Canis lupus familiaris: one gene and its partner. The protein of the gene in region 2 purifies or fractionates together with the protein of the main gene of each other region. This does not show direct contact. Links are inferred from orthologs where the notes say so. Each region holds a gene or a part of one and is shown on either strand. Other genes may lie near its edges.

Region 1 (5,699 bases), on a different chromosome or scaffold from region 2:
TACCAAATTGCCACATTGTAAGGCATAAACACTAAGATCAAGAATGAAAATGCTATGTGCGTGATCCTTTTTACATTTGTTGATAAAATGTAATGACACTCATCTTCAAATGTTTAAACAAGCCAGAATGGCAATTTATTAAAAGGATAAGAACACAGATTCTTCCCTTTTGATTAATTCAACTGATTAGCTAAAAGTAGTATATCATAATGATGTGTGGATTTGCAATTTGAACCACATATGCACCTCCTACCACAGCAATATATACCATCATTTCTGAGCATTTCCATTTCTCAAGCTGACACATCTTACAAAGGTGAGACTGGATGCTCAGATATATACTAAGAATAATTTATTACCTAAACAGAGTTAAGAAGGCAAATGTAGGTGGAAAAATCTAGAAAAGGTCCCTTGTCATACTGATAATATAACCATCACCACAAAAGAAGGGGAGAAAAACTGGCAGCTGGGCATGTCACAAGTGGGCAAAGAGCAGATGTGCGTTGGTGGCTCAGTTAGCAACCTAGTACCAAAAAATTTCAAGTTCAAATATTTAAGTATCATTTTTTAAGCTCAGCACCCAGAGGCAGCAATCACCAGCAGGTACCCCCACATCTCCTACCTGTCCAGCCTTCGACACTGGAAGTGTATAGATGAAAGTAATAAAAGCACACCAGTATTGTCTGGCTCTTGTCTCCAGAGCTGCATGCAGTGTCTCTCTGCTGCCTCAAAATCTCCTGCCTGATATTCTCGATGTGCCAACTCAGCTAACCCTTGGAAGGAAAGCATACGTTTCGTTGGTTCTGGAGAATCATCAAAACATTTGAGGGAAGGAGGGGGGAAAACAAAAAGTTAGAAATGCCAACAAAAAAATGTAAAAATATGGTATATTAAACTTAAAGATGAAAACGCTTGAAACTATGTAAAGCACTAGAGTGTTCTGCACGTTATTTATACCTCCAAGTTAACATCAGGTGCAGAATTGGCATTTTTAGAATACACCATTAACTTTTCTTTCCCAGACTAGATAAAAACACTTCCGAATAAGATTACATTTTATGAACAAAAATACTTTGTACTTTTAAATTATATATAAGTCAGAAGGAGTATCTGAAGATCACTAAACATTATTCCCTATACCTTAGTTAACACACAGAAACAAAATATAAAACGTGATTTGCAAGGTCACAAAGACTTAATGTCAGAATATCCTACTGGAAACATAATACTCTGTCACATGTTTCAGGTTGGATTTGTGGGGGGGGGGTGGGATATTGGTAACAATCTCTCTTTTAACCTGAGAGAGCACCAGATGCCTTTTAACTCTTAAAATTACACCTATTATTTGTAGATTTCTCAATTTAATTTTTTAAATTAAGGGATATACTAGAAGCCAGCATAAGAGGGGGGGGAAACTCTAAAAGTCAAGGTGCTATTTTTAAAACAGCTGATAAGATAAATTAGTCTCTCAAGAACCAAAATACTTGAGGGATCATCAAACGTTTTAAATAAAGACCCAAGATTATACTGCTCCTCTATTATCCCAAATTCATGGTGGAGACCAAATTAGCTAAATTCCACCCACGCTGGTTTAAGACGAGCATTTTCCAAAAAGCTCTGACACTAAAAGGATTAAGACATTGCAAACAACCCTATATAAACCAGTTACCTACAACTGCAATGATTTTTAAGAATGGGAAAATGCTAAAATATAAAACCATTCGATAAAGTGGGACAGAATGAACAACAAATGAAAAACACTTTGCTCTGTGTAAGTGACTTAATTCAAATTCATAATGAGAAAGCGTATAGCTAAAGCCCAGAGACTGCGAGTAAAACAACAGACTGCCTAAGTTTCCACTGTAAACACTTAAACAGTGATATATTACTAGGAATTTGACCATAGCACTTTCATTAGAAGTTTGGAATAGGAAACCATGTACAAATTATTTAAATTCTACCAAGGTCACAGTGACAAGTCAAATTTGAGCCTTGCTCCCCAACCCTTAGGGCTGGCAAGTGATCTGTATACTCAGGAAAGCAAAGTAAATTTCCTGACAGAATGTAAAGCTGACCACTACACAAGAGCAGACTCCCATCCAAATCCGGGTAAAGTTTCTCAAATAGAAACTAATGAATTAATCACATTTTAGACAAATCTCTTAACTTCCTAGCTCCTCGTTTTAACACATAACTTTGTCAACTTTTCAAAGCCCCTTATTTGATAATATCAACACCTGAAATGACAACGTCCTCAAACAAAATACACACAGAAAAGGACCAGCTAGTACAAAATCTTCCATCTTTAAGGATCCCTGGCAGAAATGAGAACACAAATTATAAATCCCACTACCCACAATCTCACATAAGATGCAACTGAAGATTCGCCTACTACTTACTGCACAATGTCCACAAATACTAAAACCCTTGATATGTCTCAACTGAGAAACAACAAAATAACCTCGTGAGAAACCTAAGAACCGCAGCCCAGTTCCCCCCCGCTCCTTCCGCCCCAAATAGCCTCAATATGGAAAGGCAGCTGAAGGACACTCCTATAATTTGTTTCTCTTATTTTTAGTAGAGAATGCTCTCGATTGAATTGTCTAAAAGGGCAACCGCCTTGCACTTGTGCAGCTACACTCCAGTTGCTTTACAAACTCTTCAAGCAGGGATGAAAACTTAAAAAAATACACACCCTATGAATAAAGAGATACTAAGCTAAAGAATGGGGATGGAAGACCCAGAGGCGGCGGCGGAGGAATACAGGGAGAAAGTAACACAAAGCAGGCATTCGGCGGGCAGGGTGGTCAATGCCCAGGCACCAGCTAAGCTCCAGCATGGTTTCTCCCCAAAGGGTAGGAAGTGGACCGCAGGGCTGGCAACCTCGCGAAGGGAAGGGTGTGGTTCCCCGCGGGAGGGGAGGAAAGACAGGATGGGAAATCCAGGCTGGGGGCAGCGGGTAGAATCGGGCGATGGCAAAAGGAACCCCTGGAAATTTCCAATCTAAACCGGGGCCGCTCGACAGAAGGAACACCAAAAAGGCGATGCTTAGCGGGGTGTTGCTCAGTATCCCCTCTTCTCGAGATTACTTACAGCACACCAAAGAGCTTTTGCTCGTCCTCGGGTGATGCAAAGTGAGGACATGATTACACCGGAATGGCACCCCCGCCCGAGACTGACAGAGAAGAACCAAATCCGGCTAAGGGGAAAGGGCTGGACGGGGGTCGGGAGGGCAGAGAGGTGGGGACGGTGGCCTGAATGAGGGGAGAAAACTGCTGCGAAGGAGAGTGAAAGGGCAGAGATTCCAATGCAGTCCATTCCGAGACATTCTAAGAGCACACGTGTGATAGAAGCGTCCCGAAAGAGTAGGAAGCTAGAAAATTGATGGGATTAAACAAGAAAAAAATGGAAGCAGAAAGGAAGCAAGAATGAGGAAATGTACAAGGAGCGGACGACAGAGGAAAACCCAAAAACAGATGCCGGTAGACGACGGAAAGCTCAGCAATGCCACTGATGTAATGAGGATGGCCGGGGGAAGGAAGGGAGTGATGAGAGAACGGCGCGAGACCCCAACAGGGCATCTGCCAAGGTAGAACGGACACCGGTACCTGTGCTGTCGGCCACGTTGCCCACGGAAGACGCCATCTGGAGCTTCTTGAGAACGAGAGGAGGGTAATTGACCCGCTGCCGCCACTACTGGCAAGAATGTTTCTGGAGGTAGTAGGAAGAGGGCGGCAGCCGTACCAGTGTTTTGGCAGGCCTAAGAGGCGGCAGCAGTCACAGGTTTCGAACCTTAGGAACTCTGGTTGGCCATCTACCTCTCACGGTCTTGAAATGGCGGCGACGGCTCCTCGGCCGAAACAACACGGGCCGGAACTACTTTCTGTTACAATCAAGTACCAGCGCGGAAGTAGCGCGGTAACCAGCGCTACCGACAAAATGACTATAATCAAAGTCGCTAGCTCTCGTGTAACCTTCCGCCCAGGGCCCATTGCGACAAACACGATTGTGTCGAGAGCGCATGCGAGCAACTCTGTCAACCCTACTGGCGCTTAGGACACTGGCTGGGGCAGGAGCGGCCAAGTTTTTCAATAGCGAAGCGGAGGGTTAAATAACTCCGTCTATACGACGGGAATATTTTTGTCGGAGTTGTTATAGTCTGTTGCCTAGCCGGTAATGTAGATTTTTCATATCAGTGCCAGAGGCGTCTAAAATATTTCATCAACTTTATTCAGGTAAAAATTGATAGTTACAGGGTCGAGGGATCAATCTGAGCAAGTGCATTTAAAGGTTTATATTTCAAAGACTGAGCTGTTGTTCAAAATGATGGCAGAGAAGGTTATAATTTGACGAGTCTTAATTCTGATTCCAGACACTGGTTTTAAGCACTTTTGATGAAAAACACTGATACTTTCACAGGGCCAAGTGAACCCAGACATCTCAGATCGCACCCATATAGTCCGAAATTTCAAAATCATCTGGGTGTTCAGTGTAGTTCCTCCCACAGCATTAGGGCAAATGCTTCATAACTCAGGGACATGCTGAGAGTTTGTATTCCAAAGGCAACCATAAAAAAATTTTAAAGATGATTCGTATTCGTCAAAATCCTTGACTCTCTCCTGAGTCTTAACTTTACTGCCACCAGATAGCTTTGTATATACTAACCATCAATGATTCCATTTAGCTCAAAGCAGTTCAACAATGACAGTTGAATTCACTTGCTAACTACCTAAAACCACACATCCAGATTGAGTCTGAATTGCCTCCACTTCCCTGAACAAATCAACTCTTAAATTCTCATAGTTTCAAGCCCATTGTTCAGATATTTTGTAACACTGGTATTAATATATATCTCCTTGCAGAAAGGATTTAAAGTAACTTGCCACATCAGCAAGAAATTATTATAAGCCCATGGAGGGAACAAGTTGGATCTCTCAGAGCGTTTTTATTAAAAAAAAAAAAAGTTATCCTTGATCTCAGAAAACAGGTCAGTGAATTTCTTCAAAACGTTTCTACTACCCAGTCATTTGACTATGATAAATAAATTAAAAAATCTAAAAACCCACCTAAGCCCTCGAGTTCTACTTCAGTTTCTTCAAAACAGTTCACAAGCTGTTCATTACATTTGTGAATGCAGAGAAAATTCATGAAAATTTCTTCCATCACATCCGATGATTAATAGTCACATGCAGGGAAAAAGACAACGTTCCCTACACAAACTCTCTCTAGAAATTGGGTACCAACCTCTTCTCTCAAATTGATTTAACTGGGAACACCTTTTTGCTCCCTTCTCCTTGCAGATGCCCCATCTGTGGCGAATAAATTCAGCTTTTCAACTTTTAGAACAGATTTCTCAGATTCCACTGGCAGATGTTGAGGCCTTCCTGATTAGTGGGTGCTAGCTAATTAAGTAAAACTCTGTTGTTCAGTGTCAGATCATGTTCCCTGTCAGGCAGCCTATTTAGCATATCCATACTTGTGGTCTAATTTTCCTTATCCTGAGAGAAGTGTCAGAGGATATTATGGTATATTTTGCTGCTGTGAAAGGCTGGACGGTGAGGCTCACAGGGGTTCAATCGGGAAAAACCCCAGCTGAAGTCTCAAGAACCCCCTCCAGGTGCCTTCCAGGAATAGCACCTGAAAGGTTTAGTTTGTAGGACTTACTCATTGGACAAACACACCTTCTTTGGCAAGTTACT
Region 2 (5,912 bases):
GGTCTGCTTCTGTCCCTTCCACCTACAATCACAAGAAACTTACCCTTTTAGGACACTTTTCCCTTTTAATGCCTCCCTAGCTGTGGTGTTAACAAGGTAAAGTCAAAGGAGAAAACAGGGTCAACAAGTTTGTACTATTTCAAAATATCTGCTTTGCAAGAACATCTAAATTTCTCAAGGATGTCATTAAATATTTAGATGATATAAGGGTTCTGATGGGGTTTTTTGCTTTGTTTTGTTTAAAGAATGAGCATAACTTTCCAAACAGTTCTAAAATCAGTGTAATGGTTTTTAAGTTCTCTGGCTTACTACAAATTTTTCTATTCAAATTGCACCAAACACTATACTACAGATCTAATTCCAAATCATTGCATCACCATCACTGCCACCCCTAAAATTTAAAACATGTGACACTGTTAACAAATACTTGAAAAATGCTTTTTATAACTAGTGTATTAATACAGGGCAATTATATAAGATCAGTAGGGAGATGGTCCAGTGTAATGAGCATTCAAGTTCTGTGGAATCTCAACTCCATTCTCCCTTTCTCTGGTGTTCTTAGTTATTGGAATCAGTCTATATACTCTATATTTAATCAGCCTTTTAGCATAATTTTACTATCATATAATAATTATGAATATTATCTTCATATTTCAGATTGTCCATAATAATCTTATATCAATTCATGTAACTCTCACACATCCACACACATACCCTCCACATCAAACAGGTACATATACATATATAATCTTGTTTATTTACCTGTTGCTATGCTATTGGTCAGAAATACAATCCGATTTTATTTATTTATTTTTATTTTTTTATTTTTTTACAATCCGATTTTAATAGTGCTCCCTAAAACAGGACAGCTCTACAATGCAGGTGCCAAGAACACAATGAAATAAGCAGCAGATATTGCTTGTTTTCGTAAATAATTTTATTCTTTCCTTGCTGAAACTCTGTCCTTAGAATATTTGACCTTAATGCCTATGAAAAAAGTTTAAGACATACTTCTAGTCTTCTTGATGTTATAATTATATGCAACACTTCTTAATTTAGGTCAAAGTTAATTTTCTGATCTCATTATTCTGAAATATTAATATTTCAGAATATTAATATTAATTTAATTAATATTAATTTTCTGATTTTCTGATCTCATTATTCTGAAATATTAAAGATTTACTTGTATCTAGTCCCTCTACATTTACTTCTAAATAGTTCTTCCTACAAATAGAAATCTTTTGAATACAGAGGTTTAGTTTAAATCTTCACTTTATATAGATGATAAAACAAACCAAAAAGAGCAGGATGTTTTCTACATTTTGGCTACTAGAAAAAAAAAAGTTTTAGTGTCACAATCCTAAAATTCATTTTTACTTAGATTGAGGCCTTACATTTGCAAGAACCAAATAAAAATACCAACCCACTAATATACTGATCCTTTCAAGAACTCAGTCCTCTTCTTATTAAACTAGCCTCTCCCTCTTCTAGATACTATTTTTCACATAGCTAGCTAGGCAGGAAATGTTTATTATAAATGAACAAATATGTTAATCTATTATAGGAAAATCTAAACACCAGATGCAAATTTTACCTACTTGTCACAATCGCCTAATAATTAGAGAATTTTATTCAAAGAGATCACAATTCAAAAGTACTCAAGATTGTAGAGACGTAATTAACATAATTGGGATTGTGGTCTGCCTAACTATAAAATTTGTCATTTTTTTAATAAAAAGCAAAAGTCTTGAGGTATTCATCAAGTAGAAGAAAGTGTAACAGCCTTCTGTGAAGGAGCAATTTCCTCAAAACCAAAAAAATTATTTCTAGAGTTTAGTCTTTTAGAAGGAAACTATCAGCACAGTCACAATTATGAAGAGAGATTAGATTGTTGTTAAGTGAAAACACTCAATAAATAAAATGTGCTTTTATTTATTCACTAACTTTTTCACATTTCCAACTAAAACAGAAATACAAGCTTAAGACTCATCAATCCCCTATCACAACAAATTTACAAAACAAATGCACAAGGTTTACAAAAATGCACAAGATTGAATAAACACAGGATCCAAATGTGGGGAAATAAAAAAGACTAAGTGGTAATATAACAAAACATTTTAACAGATAAAACTGAGAGGTGAGATGCGTGATTTCTTATTTTCTTCTTTATACGCTCCTATAATTCTCCAAATTTTCCCACAGTTAACATTTATTACTTTCATAATCAGAAAAAAACTCATTAAAAAAAAAATAAGCCGTACATCTTATAATAAAGGTTCATTTAGAAAGGTTCTCCACATTATACAAGTATTACTGACATGATTCACCATTAAAGATAACGTCTCCACACTTTCTCACTTTCCAACACGAAAATGCGGTTTTATGTCCTATTACTTTTCTCCTGCATCTCCTAATGTTTCATTTCTACATACGTACACGCTCTTCATTTTTTTCATGCAACACATTGGAAGTCTCAAGGACCACGTAAAACCCACCTCTAAACTTCGTTATAAAAAAATTAAGGCGGGGGCCGGGGAGGAGGAAGGTTTTACCCGCTAATTACAACTTCGTGAACCCATCACTAGCTACGGAAAAAAAAAAAAAAAAAAGTCAAGGCCGGGTAAACTACACGTCCCACCATGCATTGCTGCCTTGTTCAGAGTAGATCTCTACGGAAACAGAAAAAAAAAAAAAAAATTCTACAAGTCCCACCTGTTACTTCGTTTCTAAACACCTCCTGCACTTTCAGCTTCAACAGCAAAACAAAAACAAGAGCCTCGTGACCTCGCGTTGGATCCGGGAGCCCAGACGAGCAGGGGACCCGGGGTCAGGCGGCATGTCTGCTATAGCGGGTAAATTCTACCAAGATCCAGCGCTCCTCTCTTCTTTCCGGGGCTGAGTGCACGCACAAGCCTTCTCCTATCTGCATCCAATGGGGGGCTCTTCAGCCGCACAAGGGAGAAGAACCGGTTACTGTGCAAGCACAACAGACTTCCCCATGCCGGGGCGGGAGCTACCACAGAGTGGAGGTGAGAGCGACATGACCCCGAACGGCCAGCTTCAAAACACCAAGGGGACTCGTCGCAGACGCGGGGAGAAGCCACAGCCCCGCGGCGACCGTCTTCCGCTGGGCGCCTCCATGCCCACCGGGATCACCACCCCGACACTAACCGCCGCCCTCTCCGCGCGGTTTTGTGCCCCCTTCAGCCGGGTCGCTGGGCCAATGACCTCCCTTCCCCTGCGACCGGCAGGCGGCGAGGGAACGAAATTCTCCCGGGCTTCCCCTTCGCTCCCTCCCCCTTACCGTCTTGGCGGCCTCCGCCCAGGTCCTGCCCTTCTTCCTACGGCCCTTTTCCCTCATGTCGGGTCTTGAACTGACTGGGAGGCTCCCGTGTCCGGGCTCCGGCCGCCCTCCCTGCCTGCTCTGCCCTGCGATGCTTTTCCCGCGGTGCCGGGAAAGGTGGGAGAAAGGGGAAGTCAGGCCGGAGGAGCACCCAAGCAGAGGAAGCGGCGGGGGTGGTGCGCGGGAGGGGGGGGGCGGGGGTCTATGGGGCGGCCGGTCCTCCTGCTGCCGTTGCCACTGCTACCGCCGCTGCCATATTGGGTCCTTACTGTACAGGCAGCCGCTATGGTCACGTGACCGCTCCCGCGCGGCCGTCACTACTGTACGCAGCCAGCCGCGCGAACGTGCGCGCGCCCCCGCCTCCCGCGCGGGGCTGCGGGACGAACGAGCCGGCGGTCCGCGGCGTCTCGTCACTCCCCCGCCCTTCCGCTCTCCGCCTAGCCTTCGGAGCATGCGCGGCGGGGGGCGGGGGAGGTCCGACGCTGCCGTGCGTCGGGCGTCCTGCGCTCACGCCTCCAGCGAAAATCGGCCTGCGGAAGCGGAAGTGGGTCCCTCCCGGAAGGCTTATTGAGCGGCGCCTGACCTCGTGCTGGGCGCCGCGGTGGGGATTGAGCCGTGCAAGAGCTCAAGGTGCGGCCCTCCTGGCTGTCGCTTTATCAGTACGCGTCGTACTTGTGTTTTTTCGTTTCTCCGTGCTCAGTTTTACAAAGGTCATCTTTGACGATTTGCAGCAGTTCTTATATGCAGGTTAACCGATTTCCATAGATGAGAGACAAGTGACTCGCCAAGGACACAGTCCACGACGTGGGGAAACCGGGAATCAGATCGCCAGCCCAGAGCCCTGTTTTGAGCCCCCACGATGCCTCTCAAACTTAGATGATTACCCCCCCAACCTTTTTTTTTTTTTTTCATTAAAGGCCACTAGGGGGGAGGAGGGGGGGTGACTGGGTGGCCGGCACTGAGGGGGGCACTTGACGGGATGAGCACTGGGTGTTATTCTGTATGTTGGCAAATTGAACACCAATAAAAAATAAATTTATTATTAAAAAAATAAATAAAGGGCACTAAGCTTTTTCAAGTGGAGAGGCTCATAAAGGACCCAAATGGTGTCTGTCTTATCTTGGTGAGGCATCCAGTAAATATTTGCTGAAGATTCAGCTACGTCTGTGGTCAGAAATCAGGGGCGCCCGGGTAGCTCAGGTTAAGGGACAGCTCAGGACGTGATCCCAAGATCCAGGGATCCAGCCCCAGGTCAGGTTCCCTGCTCAGTGGGGAGCCTACTTCATCTCCTCCCTGTTCCTCGTCTCTCTTGCTATCTCTCTCTCTAAAATAAAAAATAAAATCTTTAAAAAAAAAAATTATTGTTGGTAGTGTCCATCACAGCTTCTTGATCCAGAATGTGGCATCTTCTGTCGTGTTTTTATACTTTGAAAAGTAAAAAAAAAAATGTGGATCCCTGAGTGGCTTAGCGGTTTGGCACCTGCCTTTGGTCCAGGGCGTGATCCTGGAGACCCGGGATCGAATCCCACGTCGGGCTCCCGGTGCATGGAGCCTGCTTCTCCCTCCTCTGCCTCTCTCTCTGTCTCTCATGAATAAATAAATAAAATATTTTTTTAAAAAGTAAAAAAATATAGTAACCCCTCCTGTTCTCCAAAATAATCTGCTTCAAGAAGTTACTTGAGATCTAGTTTAGTAAACTTAGCCCCATACTGTATTCTAAAATAGGACTGAGAGTTAAGCTGCCTCTTGGGAGTAAAAACAGGAGAGAGCAATATTTAACTTGGAGTCCAGGGTTTGGTTTCAGAATTTCATGGACCCCTAAAATTATGAACAGTATTTTGTGTATAATTATGCATTTTTGAGAAAAGGATTCAGGACGCTCCTGGCTGGCTCAGTCGGTGGAGTATGTGATTCTTGATGTCTGGGTATAACGAGTTCCAGCCCCGCATTGTCGTGGAGCCTACTTTAATTTTTTTAAAAATTAAAGAGGATTTATAGCTTTTCCTCAATTTTTCAAAAGGGCTATTACACAAAAAAAGTATTAATAGGGAGTTTGAGAGGCCATCTGGATACTTCATTATATTTCTCCTTCAGTCATTGATCAAACAGCTGCATAAGAGCAATTGACATGGGTATATTTTCACAAATCCTTTCAGTAACTCATAGTACTATCCATAGCACTGAAGCAACATATGTACCATCTCCCTCTAAAGCCCAGGTCTAGGGATGCCTGGCTGACTCAGTAGAGCAGCAGAACATGCGACTTTTGTGGTCATTAGTTTGAGCCCCACCTTGGATGTAGAGATTACTTAAAAATAAAATATTTGGGGGGCCTAGATGTTTCAGTTGGTTAAGCACTGAACACAATCTCAGGTCTTGATCTCAGGGTCATGAATTCAAGCCTTGTGTTGGGTTCCATGCTGGGCATGGAGCCTACTTTAAAAAAAAAGAAGAGAAGAAGGAGGAGGAGGAGGAGAGAAGGAGAAGAAAAGAAAAGCACCTAGGTCTATAGTCATTTCAAGAAGTCACACTCTGTCCCTAGATTTTAAGCAATGTGATGGCTCATCCT

Evidence for each region. The genes of interacting proteins can lie anywhere in the genome.
Region 1: the proteins of ASXL2 (region 2) and OGT purify together in Homo sapiens (affinity purification with mass spectrometry; 3 studies listed by BioGRID and IntAct, with this or other methods). This does not show direct contact. The link is inferred for Canis lupus familiaris from reciprocal best matches to the Homo sapiens genes ASXL2 and OGT.

The regions. Positions count from the first base shown.
Region 1 is NC_049260.1:56,015,348-56,021,046, reverse strand, and holds the start of OGT (UDP-N-acetylglucosamine--peptide N-acetylglucosaminyltransferase 110 kDa subunit), read right to left. Parts: upstream 3,646-5,699; coding exon 3,609-3,645; intron 804-3,608; coding exon 623-803; intron 1-622. UniProt on the Homo sapiens protein: Catalyzes the transfer of a single N-acetylglucosamine from UDP-GlcNAc to a serine or threonine residue in cytoplasmic and nuclear proteins resulting in their modification with a beta-linked N-acetylglucosamine (O-GlcNAc).
Region 2 is NC_049238.1:20,106,318-20,112,229, forward strand, and holds the start of ASXL2 (putative Polycomb group protein ASXL2), read right to left. Parts: upstream 3,549-5,912; 5' UTR 3,362-3,548; coding exon 3,305-3,361; intron 1-3,304.